Stegostoma tigrinum: one gene and its partner. The protein of the gene in region 1 purifies or fractionates together with the protein of each later gene. This does not show direct contact. Links are inferred from orthologs where the notes say so. Each region holds a gene or a part of one and is shown on either strand. Other genes may lie near its edges. The genes, in order: protein bicaudal D homolog 2-like and cytoplasmic dynein 1 intermediate chain 1.

Region 1 (11,244 bases):
TGTTTGAACTCAGGATCACTGTTTAAAAATACAAGAAGACCGTTATGAAGGGAATTGTTTTCTCTTGAAGAATCATGAGCCTTTGTCACACTCATCCTAAAAAGACAGTTGAAACAAGAATCCTTGAATATTTTTCAGACGGGGGAGATAAATTTTTGTTAAACAAGGTGGTGAAAGGTTATCAGGATTAGAACGCAGATAAGATTACATTCAATTCATGATTTTATGGAATAGCCTACTCCTTGTCCATGTTCACAAACTTAGTTATACCATGTTTTGTTATATGCTTGGCAAACTCTACAGAGCTCAGAATTTACAAAGAAATTAACACTTATGTATTAGTATTTAAGGCTGAAAAATAAACGAGATTCTGAAAGGATTTTGGGCTGTGATCCAACATTTGAACAAAGTAGTCAACAAGCCAAACGTGAAGTGCCAAACAAATCACCAACAATAGAACAATTTGAGCGATTGGCATGATAGTTAAACCCATCAGCTTTGGTTACACCCTCCTTCTTTATAACCAAACTACTCCATTTCCGACAATAATCTCACATAGTACAAAAATGTAAAAAATGATTATATAACATTCACCCTTATAATCAGTTTTACGAGGGAGAAAACCAACAAGCGTTCTTTACATGCTTGCATAATAAACAAACTACAAAAGCTTGTTCTGCCGAACGCTGATCACATGGCATGGGAGGAGAAAGGTGATCTCTTACCATGTTGAGAAGAGAGATCATGTTACTACTTGTTACATTAGGTTCACAGGATAATAAAGGACACATTAGAAAATAAACGTCAAACATTAAATAAATTTCACCAGATTCCAATCCATTCAAAGTTACACTTAGACTTTTTTCTAATTTCAAACTACCTGGAGAGCTAAGCTGAGCCAGGAGGGGACACGAAGTCTTTGGCAGGTAGGATCAAGGAAAACCCTAAAGCTTTCTATAGGTATATCAGGAATAAAAGAATGACAAGAGTAAGATTAGGACCAGTCAAGGACAGTAGTGGGAAGTTGTGCGGAGTCTGAAGAGATAGGAGAAGCACTAAATGAATATTTTTCATCAGTATTCAGACGTGAAAAAGACAATGTCGTCGAGGAGAAGACTGAGATACAGGCTATTAGACTAGACAGGATGAGGTTCATAAGGAGGTGCTAGCAATTCTGGAAGGTGTAAAAATAGATATATCCCCTGGGCTGGATAGGATTCATCCTAGGATTCTCTGGGAGGCTAGGGAGGAGATTGTACAGCCTTTGGCTTTGATCTTTATGTTGTCATTGTCCACGGGAATAGCGCCAGAAGACTGGAGGATAGCAAATGTTGTCCCCTTGTTCAAGAAAGGGAATAGAGACAACCCTGGTTATTATAGACCAGTGAACCTTACTTTGGTTATGGGTAAAGTGTTGGAGACGATTATAAGAGATAGGATTTATAATCATCCAGAAAGGAATAATTCGATGAGGGACAGTCAACACTGTTTTGTGAAGGGTAGGTTGTGCTTCACAAACCTTATTGAGTTCTTGGAGAAGGTGACCAAACAAGTGGATGAGGGTAAAGCGGTTGATGCGGTGTATACGGATTTCAGTAAAGCGTTTGATAAGGCTCCCCACAGTAGGCTATTGAAGAAAATACGGAGGCATGAGATTGAGGGCGATTTAGCAGTTTGGATCAGAAATTGGCTAGCTGTAAGACGACAGTGGTGATTGATGGGAAATGTTCATCCTGGAGTTCAGTTACTAGTGGTGTAACGCAAGGATCTGTTTTGGGGCCACTACATTTTATAAATGACCTGGATGAGGGCATAGAAGAATGGGTTAGTAAATTTGCAGATGACATTAAAGTCGGTGGAGTTGTGGACAGTGCGGAAGGATGTTGCAGGTTACAGAGGGACATAGATAAGCTGCAGACATGGACTGAGAGGTGGCAAATGGAGTTTAATGTGGAAAAGTGAGAGGTGATTTACTGTGGAAGGAGTAACAAGAATACAGAGTACTGGGCTAACGGTAAGATTCTTGGCAGTGTGGATGAGCAGAGAGATCAGTAAGGGTGTGGAATTCCCTGCCTGCAACAGCAGTCAACTCTCCAACTTAAAAGGGCATTTAAATTGTCACTGGATAAACATATGGATGATAGTGGAATAGTGTAGGTTAGATGGGCTTCAGATTGGTTTCACAGGTCGGTGCAACATTGAGGGCCGAAGCGCCTGTACTGCACTGTACTGTTCAATGTGCTACCTGTGGGCCAGAATGTCTGGGTTCAAGTTCCACCTGCTCCGGAGGCGTCATGATAGATCTGAATGGGTTGATTAAAAATATCCAGTGACCCTTCCCATTTTCCACACAACCTGTAATAAATGTGAAGGAATTATCTAACGAAATGTTAAAAAGATAAAAAAAACTGTGTTATATTCCATAGTATCTTCTGTTGAGTAATTTATTATTTACAGCAGAAAAAGTTTAAATCACTCATTGAAAAAATATCTTTTCAAATCCTTGAGATTGCAAAGTTCATTTTTAACTTTGCTTAATAGAACAAATTTGCAGAGAAATGATCTCTTTAGATTTCCATAAATATCAGTTAGACCTGAGTTTGTGAAGGTGAATACAAGTCCTTTCATGTATCTTTCTTGTCTTAGAAGTCCAATATGCCATTTCTGATCCTTTCCTGCATATATCAAACTAAAACTACTTGCTTGATTTGTAACTGAAATGTTTAAACATTAAAATTTGAAGACAGCAGTTTTCCCACCCAATGTCATTCAGACCCATAAATATCAGCTCAATTAAAGAATATGAAAATAAACACTCAAAAGCCTCATATCCCACGTAATACTGAGAGAAATATTGAAACTTCCAGTACATACAATTAACATGACTTGCAAACGTTAACATATTTCCTTCAAACACAGTATGACATTACAATGCTTTGACGTTTCATTAAACCGATAATTTATTATTCAAATGCTCTAAACAGCTCACATTTGAAAATCTCAATCCGAATGTTATCCTAATGAAATAATACATTTTCTTCATTATGAAAATGCTCCACAATCCAGATTGAGATTTGATTTTTAATCAATTTAACATAAACTTGTAAAAAGATGTGCTCTATAGATGTAGTTATATCCACAAACTGACCTTTTCCAAAACAGAAATTGAAGTCTATTATCGATTTGAACCAAAAAAAAGTCAATAATAGTTAAAACCAAAAGAAATCTTCATTCTAGAATGTAATTGATTCAATTTTGTATCAGCATGCTGTATCAACCAAGCAGGCAAGCTAAGCATGACTTTCCCAATGAGTCACTAATCTAATCCAGAATTCTGAAAGGAGGCGTCAAGTCAAATCCAGTGATGTCTTGAGTGGGGAAAAAAACATACAACCCAAAGACAAGCAATGATTCACATCTCATAAGTATTTCATTTTACAAGGCAGTTACAGAATGTCTGCATATGAGGAGCACTTTACCTTCATGTACTGTGATAGTACAATATTGTATATCTAAACATTTTCTTTCCGGTCTGAACATCTTAGTCACTAGATGTATTAAACTAGTTTGGCTCAACAGTCTAGTCCTGCCCAACATATTTTATGCAATTTCTTCGTGCCAAAGATTCGTGGAAATATTTTCTCTTGAGAATTTTTTTAGGTCTTGTCAAAGCGTTATTAAAACAAAACTTATCTTACAATTTTGCATTGTCTGGCCATTTGACTGGCCATCAAACTCTAATTAGCTGATTTACCTAGTTTGTACATTTGACTTATGCCGAGGGGGAAGTGTTTTTTTTAAATCTAGTGGCCTCTGCTTGATGGATCTCTGACCATGCTTCCCGTGGATCTAACAGTGGTCACTAATCCGATCTATGACAATCTGCTGAAAGATGAGGACAAAGGGATTCCTCCACTGCGAGAATTCATACAGTTACAGTAGGGGATTCAACGGTACGAACAAGCCACTGTGAGCCATTTGGCACAGCACAACAACTATTATTGAGCAGTGAGGTGGCAGATGCTGGGAGCTGCTGCTTGAATCTGTCAACGGTCAGACGCTCTTGGGCAATGGGTGGGTCTTCGGTCAGTTTTTTTTTGAAGAATCCAACCAATACATTTTAAGCAAATGATTAACTTATTTTTAAAACAAAACCGTCTGTACAAAAATCGGGATCGAGATTTGGTGATATTATTATCCTTTTTCCTTGCTCAATAAGCCTCACCTCTCGGAGCTGCTCCAACTCCTGTCTGACTGTCTCATACTCGCCCTCCAGATCCTCATACTGTTGTTTGAGGCTCTGCTTCTCCTCCAACACCACCAGCCCGTACTCGGCCGCCTGGATCTTCTCCTGGGTTGTTTCGCTCAGCTCCCGGTTCAGCCGCTCGACCTCAGTCCGCAGGAAACTCTCGCTCTCCATCAGTGGCTCCTCCGCCTGCATGGCGCCGCCGCCCGCTCGCTCGCTTCTCGGCCGGCCAATTCGGTCCGGATCCCGGGTCAGCTGAGTTAAAACGGGGTCCTCGCTGCCTTGGCCACCATAGCTTCACCCGGCTGGCCCACCGGCCAGGCAGCGAAACTCAGCCTGAAGGAGGGGGTGGAAAATGAAGGCGACCAAGTGCGAAAGACAGAGAACGCTTCCCCCAACGTCTCCGTTCTGCCGGCTCCTGGGTCTGCTACTCCTGTCTCCGCCCCGTTAGGCTGCTCCCCTCCTCCACCATCCCGTCGCCATTGCCGCTGACATTCCTTCCCAGCTGCTGACGTCAGCTCCTTCCCCACAGACAAGGAGCCGCTTGAGGACACTGCGTGGTCCCCACACCCTGTGTTCTATACAGTTTATCATACACCCTGTAATCTATCCAATAAACTATACACCCTGTAATCTATACACTATATCATACACACTAAAATATATACAGTAAATCATACACCTAATTTATTCAATACATCATACCCCTTGTAATCTATACAGTCTCTTATTCACCGTGTAATCTAAAATACTGTGCAATATATACGAAATATACATCCTATTTCTGATGTGATAATGGGAACTGCAGATGCTGGAGAATCCGAGATAACAAAGTGTGGAGTTGGATGAACACAGCAGGCCAAGCAGCATCTCAGGAGCACAAAAGCTGACGTTTTGGGCCTAGACCCTTCATCAGAGAGGGGGATGGGGAGAGGGAACTGGAATAAATAGGGAGAGAGGGGGAGGTGGACCAAACATGGAGAGACAAGGGAGTTGCAGTGGGAGAGAGATTCCCTGAGGTTGGTCCAGAGGGAGGAGGGTAACTTCTTCAGCTTAGGCATCCCTGGAAGAGGCTTCGCAGTGAGGTTAAAATTGTATCAGTGATAATGGGAACTGCAGATGCATCCTATTTCTCATACCTGTAATATATTGTGTAGTGTTTATAATATATCATACATCATACATCCTGCAATCAATGCAGTAAATCATACACCTTGTCATATACACAATGTATCTCATACCCTGTAATATATAGTGTAGTATACATAACATACATCATACATCTTGTAATATATATTGTATATATAATATATCATATAACCTACAATATATACAATATAATACATATAATGTATCATACACCCTGTGATATATAAATATAAAATATACAATATATTATATACCCTGTAAAACACAATATACTATGTATAACATAAAACACACCATGTAATATACCCACCATATTATACACAATCTACATAACCCCGTAACATACACATTTATGAAGAAGGATCCCAAACTGAAACATAAGCTTTCCTGCTCTGCTGATGTTCCCTGGCCTGCTGTGTTCCTCTAGCTCCGCACTTTGTTATTGCTGGCACCCATACCATATTTAAAAGGATGCTGTGAATCTGGACAATCACTATAATTCCGAAGCTGCTTTATCCGGTGACAGTCAGTTTGAACACATTGGAAAAATGTAAGCTGCAGGCCTGAGGTATAACTAAGATTTTGTATTTTGCTGTATAAGAAGATGAATACCCCATTGACTGAGGACTGCTGCCATCAAAGCAAGCTGCCTGGCTGTGGAGCTGGGCTGAGGCAAGGCAAGGCAGGACACCGATACTTTGAGAACCCAGGTGAACAAGTTCTTAGAAAGCAAGCCGGCAGCCTTAAGATGCAGCCTTTGCCCAGCCTGTGAGCTGAGTGCCTGTCCCTGCAGCAGCCTTTCAATACCAGTTGCCGGTGTGCTATGTAATGCAAGTCTGTGCTTCCTGAGTGACCTGCAAGTGTATTGGGATGCCACAATAGTTTATAGACGTTTTCAGGTAGAGCCAGCTCTGAAGAAGGGTCACCAGACCTGAAACGCTAACTCTGATTTTCTCTTCACAGAAGCTGCCAGACATGTTGAGTTTTCCAGCAACTTGTGTTTTTGTACCAAACTACACTAATCCCATTATAACAAAGTGTGAAGCTGGATGAACACAGCAGGCCAAGCAGCATCTCAGGAGCACAAAAGCTGACGTTTCGGGCCAAGACCCTTCATCAGAGGCTCTGTTATTGCTATGTGTTCAAACTGACTGTCACCGGGTAAAGCAGCTTCAGAATTATAGTGATTGACCAGATTCACAGCATCCTTTTAAATATGGTATGGGTGCCAGCAATAACAGAGGCTCTGATGAAGGGTCTCGGCCTGAAACGTCAGCTTTTGTGCTCCTGAGATGCTGCTTGGCCTGCTGTGTTCATCCAGCTCCACACTTTGTTATCTTGGATTCTCCAGCATCTGCAGTTCCCATTATCACTGATACACTAATCCCATTGTTCTGTGCTTCGTCCATTGCCTTCTGTGCCTTGGCATTTTAAGTGCACATCCAGATGTTTCTTAAATGGTGCAATAGTATATGCCTCCTCCAACCTCTAAAGCAGCATGTTCCATATTTCTACCACCCTCTGGAAGAAATAAAGTTTCCTCAGATCCCCCTTAATGAATTACTCCTCACTTTAAACATGCTGTATGCCCTCTGATTGTAAACACATCTACGATGGGGAGAGAATTCTCACAATCTATCCTGTCTATGCCTCTCATAACCTTGTCACTTCGATCAGATCCCCCTCAGCCTCCTCTGTTTCTGCCCCAAGGAAAACAAGCACGCCCTATTCAGTGTCTCCTCATAACTGAGATTTTCCATCCCAGGCAACATCCTGGTAAATCTCCTCTGCACCCTCTCCAATGCAATCACACCCTTCCAATAATGTGGCACCAGAATGCAGGATTCCTTCTGTGGCCTAATAAATGTTTATAAAATTGTAACAAGACCTACTTGCTCCTCTCTTCTATGCTTCAGCTAATAAAGATCAGCATCCCCTATGCTTTCTTTATCATCCTGTCTATTTGTGCTAATGCCTTCAAGGGATCCGAAGCTGCAACACTGTATTCCTCACGCTGTTCTATTACTGTTATGCACTTTGTAATGTATCATCTGCCTGTACTGCAGGTAAACACAACTTTTCACTGTAGCTAGGTACATGTGACAATAATTAATCAAAATCAAACCAAATCAAATCTATTGACTTAGACGCCAATGTCCTTTTTTCCCTCAGCAGTCCCCATGGATCTACCATTCATTGTGTATATCCTACGCTTATTAGATCACCCAAAGTGCAGCATTTATCACATTAAATTCCAACGGCCATTGCTCTACCCAATTTACCAGCTGACCATATCAGATTGTAGCCTGACACCATCCTTCTCATTATTAACAAAATGTCCATTTTTTTGTGTCATCTACAAATTCACTCATTATACCTTCTATGTTCACATCCAAGTTGTTAATGTGCATAACAAACAGCTATTGTCCCAGCACCAAACCCAGTGATGTGCTGCTGATCACTAGCTTCCAATTATGAAACCAACCTACCACTGTCACTCTTTGCCTCCAATTTGTGAACCAATTTTGCATCCAGTTTGCCAACTTGTCTAGGATACCATGGACTCCTACGTTTTGGCTTGCCTTCCATGTGGGACCTTGTCAAAGGCCTTATAGAAGTCCACGTATACCACATCAACTTTGTTACCCTCATCAATATATTTAGTCACCTTTTCAAAAAATTCAACTAAATTAGTCAGACACGATATCCTTCCAACAAGTTCATGCCGATCATCCCTGATCTATCCCTGCCTTTCCAAATGCCAATAAATCCTGTCTCCTGAAATATTTTCTCATTATTTCCCTACCACCGATATCTGATTGGATGATCTGCAATTACCTGGCCTTCTTAAACAAAAGAACCACATTATCTATTCTCCAGTTATCTGGCACTTTACCTGTTGGTAGCAAAGTAATAAATATCTCATTCCAGGGCATCAGCAATCTTCTCGCTTACCCCAACGAAGCAGCCTGTCATACATTGCATCAGGCCTTGGGGATTTACATACCTTTATACCTGCTAAACTTCCACCTTCTTTTTCTTAACATGCTATAGAACCTCACCATTCCAACTGAAATATCCAGCTACATTGTCTTTAACCTTTGTGAAACAGATGGTAAATATTCAATTAAGACCTCACCCATGTCTTCTGGCTCCATGCACAGATTTTTCCTTTGGTCTCTACTAGAGTCCCCTCTTTCCCTGGTAATCCTCTTACTGTTAGTATAGAATATATTTATAAAATGCCTTGGGATTTTCTTTAATTCTATCTGCCAAAGATATTTCATGGCCCCTCTTTGGCTTCCTAATTTATTTTTAAAGCCACCCTCCCACACTGTCTGTGCTTCTGGAGGACCTTCCCTGTTTTAATGCTCTGTACCAAACATAAGTTTCCTTCTGAGATAATGGGAACTGCAGATGCTGGAGAGTCCGAGATAACAAGGTGTGGAGCTGGATGAACACAACAGGTCAAGCAACATCTTAGGAGCAGGAAGGCTGACCTTTCGGGCCTAGACCCCATTTCTGATGAAGGGTCTAGGCCCAAAACATTAGCCTTCCTGTTCCTAAGATGCTGCTTGGCCTGCTGCATTCACCCAGCTCCACACCCTGTTATATGGGTTTCCTTCTTTTTCTTTATCAACTCTCAATACCTCTTAACATTCCAGGGTTGCCCAGACTTGCTGCTTTTGCCCTTCCCTTTTAGAGGAACATGTAGGCCCTGATCTCTCACTATGCTACATTCAAAAGACACCCACTTTCCAAATGTAGACTTACCTGCAAGTAGATGCTCTCAGTCTACTAGATCCTGTCTAATAATATTGATATTAACCTTCTCCTAGTTTGACACTTAATTCTGCAGTATCCTTATCTCTTTCCACATGACTTTGAAACTTACAGAGTTTCTGGGGTTGCTATCCCCAGAATGCTTGCCCACTGATGCTTCAACCACTTGACTGGTTTCATTGCCTAGGATTAGGTCCAGTACTGCTCCATTTCAATGAGGAATGTCTAAGTACTGGCACAAAAACCTTTCCTGGATGCACTTTAAAAATTCCATGCCATCTAATCTGTTCACACTAAGGCAATCCCAGTTAATGTTAGTAAAATTGAAATCCCCTCCTACTATAACCCTATTCGTCTCATACCTCTCGGTGATTTGCCTATATAGCTGCTCCTCTATCTCCCTCTGACCGTTGGGAGGACTGTTGTCTAATTCCAGCAAAGTGAATGCCGCTTTTTTTATATCTAAGCTCTCCCAGATGGCCGCATTTGAAGAGCCTTCTAGGACATCCTCCTTCATTCCTGCAGTGATGGTTTCCTTTGCCAATAATGCAATATCCCCAACACACTTACATCCCATTCTATCATGCTTGAAATCTCTATACCCTGGAACATTGAGCTGTCAGTCCTGCCCTTTCTTCAATCATGTCTCAGCAATTGCAACAACATCATACTCCTGAGCACTGATCAATACTCTTAACTTCTTCTGCCATACCAATCAGGCTCCTTGCATTCAAATAGATATGATTTAGCTTTCTGGTTCTCCCATGTGCCTTCTCATGCCCATGTCTTCTCAGTCTACTGGACTGCATTGCTTCTATTTCTGATTAGACTTTGCTCACAATTTTAAATCTACTCTGTGCCTTGCAAAATTAGATTAAAAGCTTTCCAACAGCAAAAGCAAACCTCCCAACAAAGATATTGGACCTATTCTGTTTCAGATGTAACCCAGATGTCACATGCCAATGTCCATGGACCAGATTCCACATGCTTGATGCTCATGGATTACACCCAGAAACACTGAGCAACTTGGAGGCCAAGATAGGCCTCGCTACACAGCACAGTGACTCAGTGGTTAGCACTACCGCCTCACAGCACCAGGAACCTGGGTTTAATTCCAGTCTTGAGTAACTGTGTGTCGCGTTTGCACTTTCTCCCTGGGTCAGTGTAGGTTTCCTCCCACAGTCCAAAAATGTGCAGATAGTGTGGATTGACCATACCAAATTATAAAAAAAAGGGGCAGAATGGTGGCTCAGTACCTAGCTCTGCTGCCTCACAGCACCAGGGACCCAGGTTTGATTCCATCCTCAGGTGACAGTGTGGAGTTTGCTCATTCTCTCCGTGTCTGCACGGGTTTCCTCCCACAGTCCAAAGATGTGCAGGCTAGGTGGATTGGCCATGCTAAATTGCCCATCATGTTCAGGGATACGTAGAGTAAAAAAACAAAGTTGATGGAAGAGCTCAGCAGGTCTGGTAGCATCTGTGGAGGAGAAAACAGAGTAAACATTTCAGGTCCAGTGACCCTTCCTGAGAACAGTTCTGAGGAAAAGTCACTGGACCCGAAACATTAACTCTGTTTTCTCCTCCACAGATGCTGCCAGGCCTGCTGAGCTTTTCCAGCAAATTTGTTTTTGTTCCTGGTTTACAGCATCCGCAGTTCTTTTGGTTTTTATGTGGAGAGTAGTTGGATGAAAGGGGGATGGGTCTAGTGGGATAATCTGAGGGTCGGTGTGGACTTGTTGGGCTGAAGGGCCTGGTTCCACACTGTAGGGATTCTGTTCTATTCTTCTATTCTAGGTTTCTTCTTCGATCCTGCCACAAATCTCACCATCCTCACATTGTTCAGGCCACTGTAAGATTTCACCTAATGTTTCAAGTCCAAATGAATCTTCTTCAGAATGTCGAAGAATCTACACTTTCTTTGCACCTATGCAATCTGTGTAAATATTCAAGACTCAGCCATACAATCAGAATAATTTTAAGAAAGAATTCTTAACCTGTATAGAGAAAATGGTTTCTGCATTTGTTTACAAAGGACATTGAAAAGTAATTTTTACAACAGCCATCTG
Region 2 (10,933 bases), on another chromosome or scaffold:
CTTAGAGTAGGATAATGGATCGGCACAATATCATGGGCCAAAGGGCTGTACAGTTCCATGTTCTATGTTCTTAAAGACTATAAAAAGCTGACAACAATCTGTATTTGTGTTCTGGCATGGAAGTCTCATTCCAGGTATTCCAGCAACCTGGCAGGTGGTTTTGGACTGGCATTTAGATTTAGATCCCCTACAGTGTGGAAACAGGGCTTTCGGCCCAACAAGTCCACACCGACCCTTGGAGCATCCCATCCAGATCCATCTCCTATAGCTCACCTAAACTACACATCCCTGAACACTATGGGCAATTTGGCATGGCCAATCCACCTAACCTGCACATCTTTGGACTGGGAGGAAACCAGAGCACCCCGAGGAAACCTACGCAGACAAGGGGAGAACGTGCACACAGACAGTCGCCCAAGGGTGGAATTGAATCCAGGTCCCTGGCGCTGTGAGGCTGCAGTGTGAACCAATGAGCCACAGTTGCCTTGTCCTGGAGGGGTGGTCTTGGTTTGGTGATATTGTTCCAGTGTGGAGGTCTCATTCTGGCATGAAGGTCTCCTTCAGCAGCAGCTTCCAACTTTTCCAATGTTAGTCATTTTAATTGACTTTCCCCAAACTGAAATTGATCTGAGATGTATTTTGCTTTAATTTTTTTACTTCATTTCCTCCTTATCTATGACTTAAGTCATTAATACAGGCAGCATGGCATAGCGACTTATTACTGTTTTTGTTTGTAAAAATACGTGATAATAAACTGCTATTCTGTTCCATTCCCTGCAAGTAATTAACCAGCTTTCATTAAATCAGCATTTCAGAAGTTGGATTTCAGCAATCTCCTTCAGACTATCTTTGAACGAATTTTATTAAGGCAATAAACTGTCTACGGCTCATGAAGTGCTGACTTGTCACTAAAAGACCTCCACAAAAGAATTTTGCCTCTGGACTTTTGGACTGCATCTTAAAAGCAAGGACATTGATAACCTCATATCACTCTATTGTTTTTAGTTTAGTTATTGTTATCGTTGCAAATCGAATAATCTGTTTATCTCCTCAATTTGATCTCCCCTGTGTTCCAAAGTACCCCCAGGCCCATGTCTAAGAATATGTGAAATAAACCTTACATCTAGTTTAACTTTACAACAGTATTTTGTGGCCCTTACGATGTACGATTCCATCACCATAAGAAATGGAGAAAAACATCATCACTGTTTAAAAAAGGGAAAGAATGATATTATAATCTGCTTATGAATAGATGAGAATGAGGGGAGAAATTTGTTTTAAAACTTGTAACACGTCTGTAACAAAATACTGACTTAAAATTCTCAGGAGAATACTGCATACAAGGTCTACAGAGTCATGATGCCACACAGCACACTCATGCCAAACAAATTTCCCTAACTAAACTGGTCCCACTTGCCTGTGTTTGGCCCATATCTCTCTGAACCTTTCCTATCCATGTACCTGTCCAAATGTCTTTCAAATTTTGTAACTGTATCTGCATCTACCATTTCTTCTGGCAGTTCATTCCACATAAAAAACCATCCTCTGTGTGAAAAAGTTGCCCCTCAGGTCCCTTTTAAATCTTTCTCCTCTCACCTTAAAAATATGCCCTCTAGTTTTGAACTCCCCTGCCCTAGGAAATGACTTTTGCTATTCACCTTATCCATGCCCCTCAGGATTTTATGAACCTCTATAAGGTCACACCCTAACCCCCGATGCTCAAGTGAACAAAGTCCCAGCCTATCAGCCTCTCCTTATAACTCAAACCCTCCAGTCCTGGTAACATTCTTGTAAATCTTTTCTGAACCTTCTCCAATTTAATGATATCCTTCCTTGAGCAGGATGACCACAACTGCACACAGTATTCCAAAAATGCTCTCACCAATGTCCTGTACAACTTCAACATGACATTCTAACTTCTATACACAATGGCTTGAGCAAAGAAAGCAAACAGAAGAATGTCATCCCAAAGTCTATCAAAGGAGCAATGTTTGAGGAGACTGGTACTTTCTTGGAAGGCTGTTCTTAAACTGCCAACTGTGGTGTAAGAGTTGAAGATCAGATTGTCACCACCTCTTCCATATATGATTATTAAAATCACAAGAGGTGTTCATCCTTTCAGTGAGTTAGAAAGGAAGCTGAATTGAGTGTGTGCATTTGCTGGGTAAGAAAGTTTCACTTGTGCAAACCTAATTTGGATTGAGATTTGCAGTTGACATTAAAGAAAATCTGAAATTTAAAATTCTGCAGTTGCAAGGTTTGAGCAGGTTTATTTTCAAAGATTGCATTGAAAGGGTGTAATTTAAGAACCTGCTGAAACTGGATCCTCACTAAATGAGTGAACGAGCCGCTTTGTTTTTAAACTATACATAAGTAGACAACATGTGTAACTTGTAATTGAGGGCTTGAGTTGAGCATCTCAAGAAGATCAGTGGAGCAAGGAGACAGGTGTTCATTTACAGACAAAGGAAAGCCTAATTCCAACAAAAGACACATGTCTTAAAGAACTGATGGTATGGAAAGAACATAGGAAATCAGGAAACCTGCTGACAGCCATGATGTGCTTGGATTCTTGACTTAGTAGTCAAGACCCATCTATGCCCCAAGCACCAAAGGCCAATACCACTTAGAGTGGTGCTCATTAAGTACTTCAGTTGAGACTCAGTCCTCAACATGGATAACCTCAACCACAAACCACAGCATGTTACCTGATACCACCTTAGCACAATCCCAGTCCAAAATGAGGATGGTGACAGACAAGTACCAGCTGATGCAGATGGAATCATCACTGAAATGTAATGAATGAATACATAATCGAATCTCCCTCATCTGTGGGCATCCCTACACCAAGTGGACCACAGCTGTTCAAGAAAGCAGCTGACCACATATTGCTCAAAGGCAACTAGGGATGGGCAATATATGTTGGCCTTGCCAATGCCACATATGCCACAGATAAACTTTATAATAATCAGTCATATTGGAAATAGGGAGAAAGAAAGCTACAGATTGCAGGAAGATAGCCATCAGCTGATCTGTTGGTAGCGCTCATTCAGTAGAACTGTGATGTAATGTATTTCAAGATTGTAAACAAAGCAAAGAAAACTGTTTGGGTAGACAAGCAAAGGGACATTGCAGTGCCTGGGCAGAGACCTGAAAGTAAAATGTAAATAAGTTAGTTAAAAAGGCACATGGGATTATTTTCTCTATTGGCATAGGCATAAAAAATGATTAGTTTATGGTAGAACTGTATAAAGTTAGGCCATACATAACACACTGTTTGCAATTTTGTCAACACATTACAAGAAGGATACGATTACACTGAAGTAGGTACACGGGAGCTTTATGAAGATGTTTCAGGTAGGAAAAGATTAGCTTTGAGAAAAGACTGGGTATCCTATGGATAACAAGGTGTAGAGCTAGATGAACGCAGCAGGGCAAGCAGCATCAGAAGAGCAGGAAATCTGACGTTTCGGGTCTAGACTCTTCTTCAGAAAATGAAGACCCGAAACGTCAGCTTTCCTCTCTTCTGATGCTGCTTGGCTTGCTGTGTTCATCCAGCTCTAGACCTTGTTATCTCAGATTCTCCAGCATCTGCAGTTTCTAGTATCTCGGATATCCTATGGAATCTACTTTTGGAATGAAAATGGCTGAGATGAGTTTTACGTGAGGTGCTGGGAGGCCAGACACTGGATTGCAAGGACCTGATCCCAACAACACGGCTACAAATAACTAGTTGAGGATTTCCCTTCCCTTGAGGGTGGTGGGATCGGGACTACACTGTTTGGGCGGGTAACAGTGACAGAAACCACAGGTACGTTTAAAAAAAATACGTTGAGAAGCTGAAGACTTACACGGCTGGAGAAGGTCAGAAATCACACGACACTAGGTTATAGTCCAACATGGCTAGAGATTAGGGTGGGGGGGGAGTCTTTAAGTATGTAGAAACACAATGGGCTAAATAGCCCCTATTCGTACATTTTCTGTTTCATATTTTTCGCATCCACTGTGTTTTATTTCTAATTTATGTTAGTAAATCGGCTGCACATGAAACGCTCCCTTGTCAACCTGAACCCGATCATCCTCAGGACTGGAGGTGACGTTTCCACGGCAACGTCCAATCAAGGGCCAACAGAAAAACTCGTGCAGCAACATCAATGATCCGACCAGCAGCAAAGTTCCCTTTCGGAACCAATGTCACAAAAAAAGTCAAGTGAGAGACACTCTACAAAAGGCGACATTTATCGCTGTATTTGTTTCCTATTTACATTAGCTCGATGGAAGAAAAAGTTTGGAGTGGGGAAGGTCTGTTCTGATTTCCCGTCCCCACCCTGGACGTTGGACGGAACCCAACATTCGGAGGAATATATGTGTCGTACCTGAGTAGGAATATCCGACAGCGGGGGTGTCCGGTGAGGGTAAGGTCACTCACGGTGCCAGTAGTTACCGGGGAGACGGGATGGCGTCGGCCGGGGCTGGGCGGGTGCGCACTCTATACAAACGGCTTTTGCTCGTGCACCGGCTGCTGCCTGACGATCTGCGCGCCATCGGTGACCGTTACGTCCGCGAGGAGTTCAGGAGGAGCAAAGGGATCGGAGCGGAGGAGGCGAACAGGTTCCTGAAGGAGTGGGAGGTGAGAACCGGATGTTTAACTGGGCCACATGGTGGGCTGGTGTGTGTGTGTGTGTGTGTGTGTGTGTGTGAGAGAGAAAGAACTGCACTGATTTTCATATCCCCCCCTTCACCCACCCCACTGCCAGCCCGCAGGATTCATAATGTAGGCTAACAACACAGACATCTCCTCAACGAGAACTGACAAGCTATATTCTGTACACAAAAGGCAAATCAAATCATTCCTACAATCTGACCCCACCACCAAGGACATTTTTCCCACCCCACCTTTGTCCGCCTTCCGGAGAGACCACTTTCTCCGCAGCTCCCTTGTCCGCTCCACACTCCCCTCCAACCCCATCGCACCCGGCACTTTCCCCTGCAACAGCAGGAAGTGCTACACCTGCCCCCACACCTCCTCCCTCACCCCTATCCCAGGCCGCAAGATGACTTTCCACATCAAGCAGATGTTCACCTGTGCATCCGCCAATGTGGTATATAGTATCCATTGTACCCGGTGTGGCATCCTCTACATTGGGGAAACCAAAAGCAGAGGCTTGGGGACTGCTTTGCAGAACATCTACACTAAGTTCTCAGTAAACAACTGCACCTCCCAGTCGCGAACCACTTCAACTCCCCCTCCCATTCCTTAGACGTCATGTCCATCCTGGGCCTCCTGCAGTGCCATAATGATGCCACCCGTAGGTTGCAAAAACAGCAACTCATGTTCTGCTTGGGAATCCTGCAGCCCAATGGTATCAAAGATAATGGGAACTGCAGATGCTGGAGATTCCAAGATAATAAAATGCGAGGCTGGATGAACATAGCAGGCCGAGCAGCATCTCAGGAGCACAAAAGCTGACGTTTCGGGCCGAGACCCTTCATCAGAGAGGGGGATGGGGGGAGGGAACTGGAATAAATAGGGAGAGAGGGGAAGGCGGACCGAAGATGGAGAGTAAAGAAGATAGGTGGAGAGAGTGTAGGTGGGGAGGTAGGGAGGGGATAGGTCAGTCCAGGGAAGACGGACAGGTCAAGGAGGTGGGATGAGGTTAGTAGGTAGCGGGGGGTGCGGCTTGGGGTGGGAGGAAGGGATGGGTGAGAGGAAGAACCGGTTAGGGAGGCAGAGACAGGTTGGACTGGTTTTGGGATGTAGTGGGTGGGGGGGGAAGAGCTGGGCTGGTTGTGTGGTGCAGTGGGGGGAGGGGATGAACTGGGCTGGTTTAGGGATGCATTAGGGGAAGGGGAGATTTTGAAACTGGTGAAGTCCACATTGATACCATATGGCTGCAGGGTTCCCAGGCGGAATATGAGTTGCTGTTCCTGCAACCTTCGGGTGGCATCGGATGGCACCCGAAGGTTGCAGGAACAGCAACTCATATTCCGCCTGGGAACCCTGCAGCCATATGGTATCAATGTGGACTTCACCAGTTTCAAAATCTCCCCTTCCCCTACTGCATCCCTAAACCAGCCCAGTTCATCCCCTCCCCCCACTGCACCACACAACCAGCCCAGCTCTTCCCCCCCCCCCCCCCCCCACTACATCCCAAAACCAGTCCAACCTGTCTCTGCCTCCCTAACCGGTTCTTCCTCTCTCCCATCCCTTCCTCCCACCCCAAGCCGCACCCCCCGCTACCTACTAACCTCATCCCACCTCCTTGACCTGTCCGTCTTCCCTGGACTGACCTATCCCCTCTCTACCTCCCCACCTACACTCTCTCCACCTATCTTCTTTACTCTCCATCTTCGGTCCGCCTCCCCCTCTCTCCCTATTTATTCCAGTTCCCTCCCCCCATCCCCCTCTCTGATGAAGGGTCTAGGCCCGAAACGTCAGCTTTTGTGCTCCTGAGATGCTGCTCGGCCCAATGGTATCAATGTGGATTTCACAAGCTTCAAAATCCCACCCCCCCCCCCCACTGCATCCCAAAACCAGCCCAGCTCATCCCAGCCTGCCTAACCTGTTCTTCCTGTCACCTATCCCCTCCTCCCACCTCAAGCCGCACCTCCATTTCCTCCCTACTAACCTCATCCCGCCCCCTTGACCTGTCCGTCCTCCCCGGACTGACCTATCCCTTCCCTACCTCCCCACCTATCTTCTCCTCTATCCATCTTCAGTCTGCCTCCCCCTCTCTCCCTATTTATTTCAGAATCATCTCCCCATCCCCCTTTTTCTGATGAAGGATCCAGGCCTGAAATGTCAGGTTTTGTGCTCCTTAGATGCTGCTTGGCCTGCTGTGTTCATCCAGCTCCACACTTTGTTATCTATTATTCTTCACTTTTTTCTCATTTACATCATAACATGAAAATCCAGCAGGTGGCAGAGCAAGCATTCCGTGGCTGTAAAAATGCATCTGTTATCCATACTCTATGCAAACATTTCTCTTGTGGGACTAAAGTGTCAAAGGTAGTCTAATTCCCTTATTGTTTAAATAATTAATTCTTCTATATAAAAAAGATTATGTGCTTCACCGCATTCACTGTCTTCCTGCTTCTCCGTCTTGCTCCAGAATGTTCTTCAGTCACAAAGAAGACCTTACAATGCACCTTATTGTGCAGGATAATGTCCTGGCTTTCACAAGGAATGAATTCCCACTTGATCACCATCTTTGCTAAATTAAACGCCAAGTGGTGCAGATTTATTGTACCTGTTAGACAAATGACTTAGCAGTCCATTATTATTCTGCTAATCATATCAAATGCTATCAGAGATAACACAGTGTGGAGCTGGAGGAGCACAGCATGCCAGGCAGCATCAGAGGAGCAGGAAAGTTGATCCTTCAGGTTGGGAGTTTAGGAAGAATGGACCAGGGTGTCCCGGAGGAAACGATCCCTGTGGAAGGTGGATAAGGGAGCAGAAAGGAATATATGTCCAGTGGTGGCATCTTGCTGGAGGTTGTGGAAATGGCAGCTGGTGATCTTCTGGATGTGGATGCTGGTAGATAAGGACAAATTCTGCTGTTAAGTCAATTTTGTATCCAATTAATAGCCTGAATCCTGTGTGACCTAATTTTATTAATTAGTTTATTGCTGGTGTGGGAGAGAAGAGAGGGGGTGAGGGCAGACGTGCAGGAGATGAGTCAGATCTGGTTGAGGGCCCTGTCAACAACGGTGCTGGGGAAACTTCAGTTAAAGAGGAAGGTGGACATTTTGGAGGCTGCCTTGTCAAAGGTAGACTCATTGAAACATATGTGACGGAGACGGGAGGAAGTGCGAGAATGGAGACTTTTTACAGGAAGCACGGTGCAAGGATATATAGTCCAGGTAGCTGTGGGAGTCAGTGGGTTTATAGTGGATATTAGTGGCCAGTCTATCCTCAGAAATGGAAACAGAGATGTCGAGTAAGGGAAGGTAGGAGTTAGAGATAGATCTGAATCATCCTTTTCTTGATTCTGTCCTATGTTTCTCACTCCTCTGTGAGCTCATACAGTCATACAGCAGAGAATCAGACCCTGCAGTCCAACCAGCCCATGCCGACCACAATCCCAAACTAAATAAGTCCGACATGCCTGCACTTGACCAATATCCTTCCAAGTATTTCTTATTGTTATACTTATCTAAATGTCTTTTAAACCTTGTAGCTGTACCCGCATCCAGCATGTCCTCTGGAGGTTCATTCCACACATGAAGCACTCTGTGTAAAAACAATTGCTTGCTCATGTCTTTTTTAAATCTTGCTCCTGTCACCTTAAAAATTATGCCCCCTAGTTTTGAAATCCCTAACCCCAGGGGGGAAAAAAAACCACCTGCCATTCACCCTTTTTATGTAAATCTCAATAAGATCACCCCACAACCTCCTACGCTGTGAAAAATGTCCCAGTCTATCCATCGTCCCGAGCTTAATAATATCCTTCCTATAACAAGGTGACCAGAACAGGACACAGTAATCCAAAAGATGCCTCTCCAACCTCCTGCATAACCTCAACATAGTTCCCAATTCCTATACTCAAAGATCTGAGCAATGAAGGCAAGCATGCGAAACACCGTCCTAACCACCCTATCCATATGTGATGCAAATTTCAAAGATTCATGTACCTGAACCCCTACGTTTCTCTGTTCTACAACACCACCAAAGGCCATGCCATTAATTCTATAAGCCCTGTGCTTTGTTTGTTTTACCAAACTGTAATATCTTCCATTTATCCAAATTAAACTCTTTCTGCCACTCTTCAGCCCATTGACCCAGTTGATCAAGATGTCCTTTGTAATCTTCGATAACCTTCTTCACTGTCCACTATACCATCAATTTTGGTATCATCCACAAACTTACTAACCATGCCTTCTATATTCTCATCTAAATCATTTACACAAATGACAAACAAAAGTGGACCCAATACCGATCCCTGTGGAACACCCCTGGTCACAGGACTCCAGTCTGGAAAACAACTTTTCATCATCTGCTCCCAGGATGAGGCATTCCACTCCTGTACATCTCAGATGTCCTCCTTCTTCAAGGACTGCAACGCTACCCACCCACCCAACACCCCCCCCCCCCCCCACACAGTGGTCGAGAACGTCCTTGACCGTGTTTCCCGCATTTCCTGCAACTCATTCTTCACACCCTGAACCTGCAATAACTGCCAAAAGAGAATCCCCCTTGTCCTCACATACCACCCCACCAACCTCCAGATACAACACGTCATCCTCTGACACTTGCGCCGTCTACAATCCGACCCCACCACTAAAGACATTTTTCCGTCTCCACCTGATCTGCTTTCCGGAGAGACCACACTTTTGTCCGCCACACAATCCCCTCCAACCCCTCCATATCCGGCACTTTCCCCTGCAACCGCGGGAAGTGCTACACTTGCCCCCACACCTCCTACCTCACCCACATCCCAGTCTCCAAGAAGGCTTTCCACATCCAGCAGATGTCCACCTGCACATCTGCCAATGTGGTATACTGCATCCGCTGTGGCTTCCTCTACATCGCGGAAACCAAGCGGAGGCTTGGGGACTGCTTTGCAGAACACCTACGCTCGGTTTGCAGTAAACAACTGCGCCTCCCAGTCGTGAACAATTTTAATTCTCCCTCGCATTCCTTAGACGGCATGTCCATCCTGGGCCTCCTGCAGTGCCATAACGATGCCACCCGAAGGTTGCAGGAACAGCAACTCATATTCCACTTGGGAACCCTGCAGCCCAATGGTATCAATGTGGATTTCACAAGCTTCAAAATCTCCCCTCACTGCATTCCAAAACGAGCCCAGCTCGTGCCTGCCTCCCTAACCTGTTCTTCCTGTCACCTGTCCCCTCCTCCCACCTCAAGCCGCACCTCCATTTCCTCCCTACTAACCTCATCCTGCCCCCTTGACCTGTCCGTCCACCCCAGACTGACCTATCCCCTCCCCACCTACACTCACCTCTGCAGGCTCTATCCACGTCCCTTTAACTTGTCTGTCTCCTCTCCAGCTATCTGCTCCTCTATCCATCTTTGATCCACCTCCCCCTCCCTCCCTATTTATTTTCTGATGAAGGGCCTAGGCCCGAAACATCAGCTTTTGTGCTCCTAAGATGCTGCTTGGCCTGCTGTGTTCATCCAGTACCACACTTTGTTATCTCAGATTCTCCAGCATCTGCAGTTCCTGTTATCTCTTTCCATCACAACTGTCTTCTGCTGTTAAGTCAATTTTGTATTAAATTGATAGCCTGAATCCTATGTGATCTAACTTTACTAATTAGCCTACCATGCAGAACCTTATCAAAAGCTTTACCAGAGTCCAAGTAAATAATGTCTGTTGTTCAGCCATCATCAATTTCCTTGGTTACTTCTTCAAAAAAACGCAATCAAGTTTATGCGACAAGATTTCCTTTGCACAAAGCCATGCTGACTATCCCTAATCATTCCTTGTCTCTCCAAATGCATATAAATCCTATATTTCAGAATCACGTCCAACCACTTACCTAGCACCAAAGTCAGACTCAGGTCTACAGTTAATCTTGACCCTCTACACACACAATAGTACTTTGTAATCTTCTGAGGCCTCCATTCCTCTAGCTTTGGCCTGTTTTGCATCATCTATTGCCACTGACAGCCATATCTTCAGTTTGCTATGCCTTGAACTCTATGTTCATTCTTAGGCATCTCTGCCTTCTTATATTGCTCTCCTTATTTAAGACTCGCCTTAAACCTACCATTTTGTAAAAACTTTAGTCACTCAATTTCAAATTTTGCTTTGCAATGTTCTTCTGATAAAGCTTCTGTTTAGATCATCATCTCATATTAGAGGGATTATGTAGTTTTTACTGTTTCGGTCAGAAAACTGATTGCGACCATGGTGGCCAGTGTTAAGCAATTAATAGTATAGGCTAGTCAGGGATGTTAATGTGG

Evidence for each region.
Region 2: the proteins of protein bicaudal D homolog 2-like (region 1) and cytoplasmic dynein 1 intermediate chain 1 purify together in Homo sapiens (affinity purification with western blotting; 4 studies listed by BioGRID and IntAct, with this or other methods). This does not show direct contact. The link is inferred for Stegostoma tigrinum from reciprocal best matches to the Homo sapiens genes BICD2 and DYNC1I1.

Annotation. Positions count from the first base shown.
Region 1 is NC_081364.1:29,077,019-29,088,262, forward strand, and holds the start of protein bicaudal D homolog 2-like, read right to left. Parts: upstream 4,739-11,244; 5' UTR 4,442-4,738; coding exon 4,226-4,441; intron 1-4,225. UniProt on the Homo sapiens protein: Acts as an adapter protein linking the dynein motor complex to various cargos and converts dynein from a non-processive to a highly processive motor in the presence of dynactin.
Region 2 is NC_081355.1:82,795,399-82,806,331, reverse strand, and holds the start of cytoplasmic dynein 1 intermediate chain 1, read right to left. Parts: upstream 4,457-10,933; 5' UTR 4,377-4,456; exon of another isoform or gene 4,139-4,376; intron 4,098-4,138; exon of another isoform or gene 3,852-4,097; intron 1-3,851. UniProt on the Homo sapiens protein: Acts as one of several non-catalytic accessory components of the cytoplasmic dynein 1 complex that are thought to be involved in linking dynein to cargos and to adapter proteins that regulate dynein function.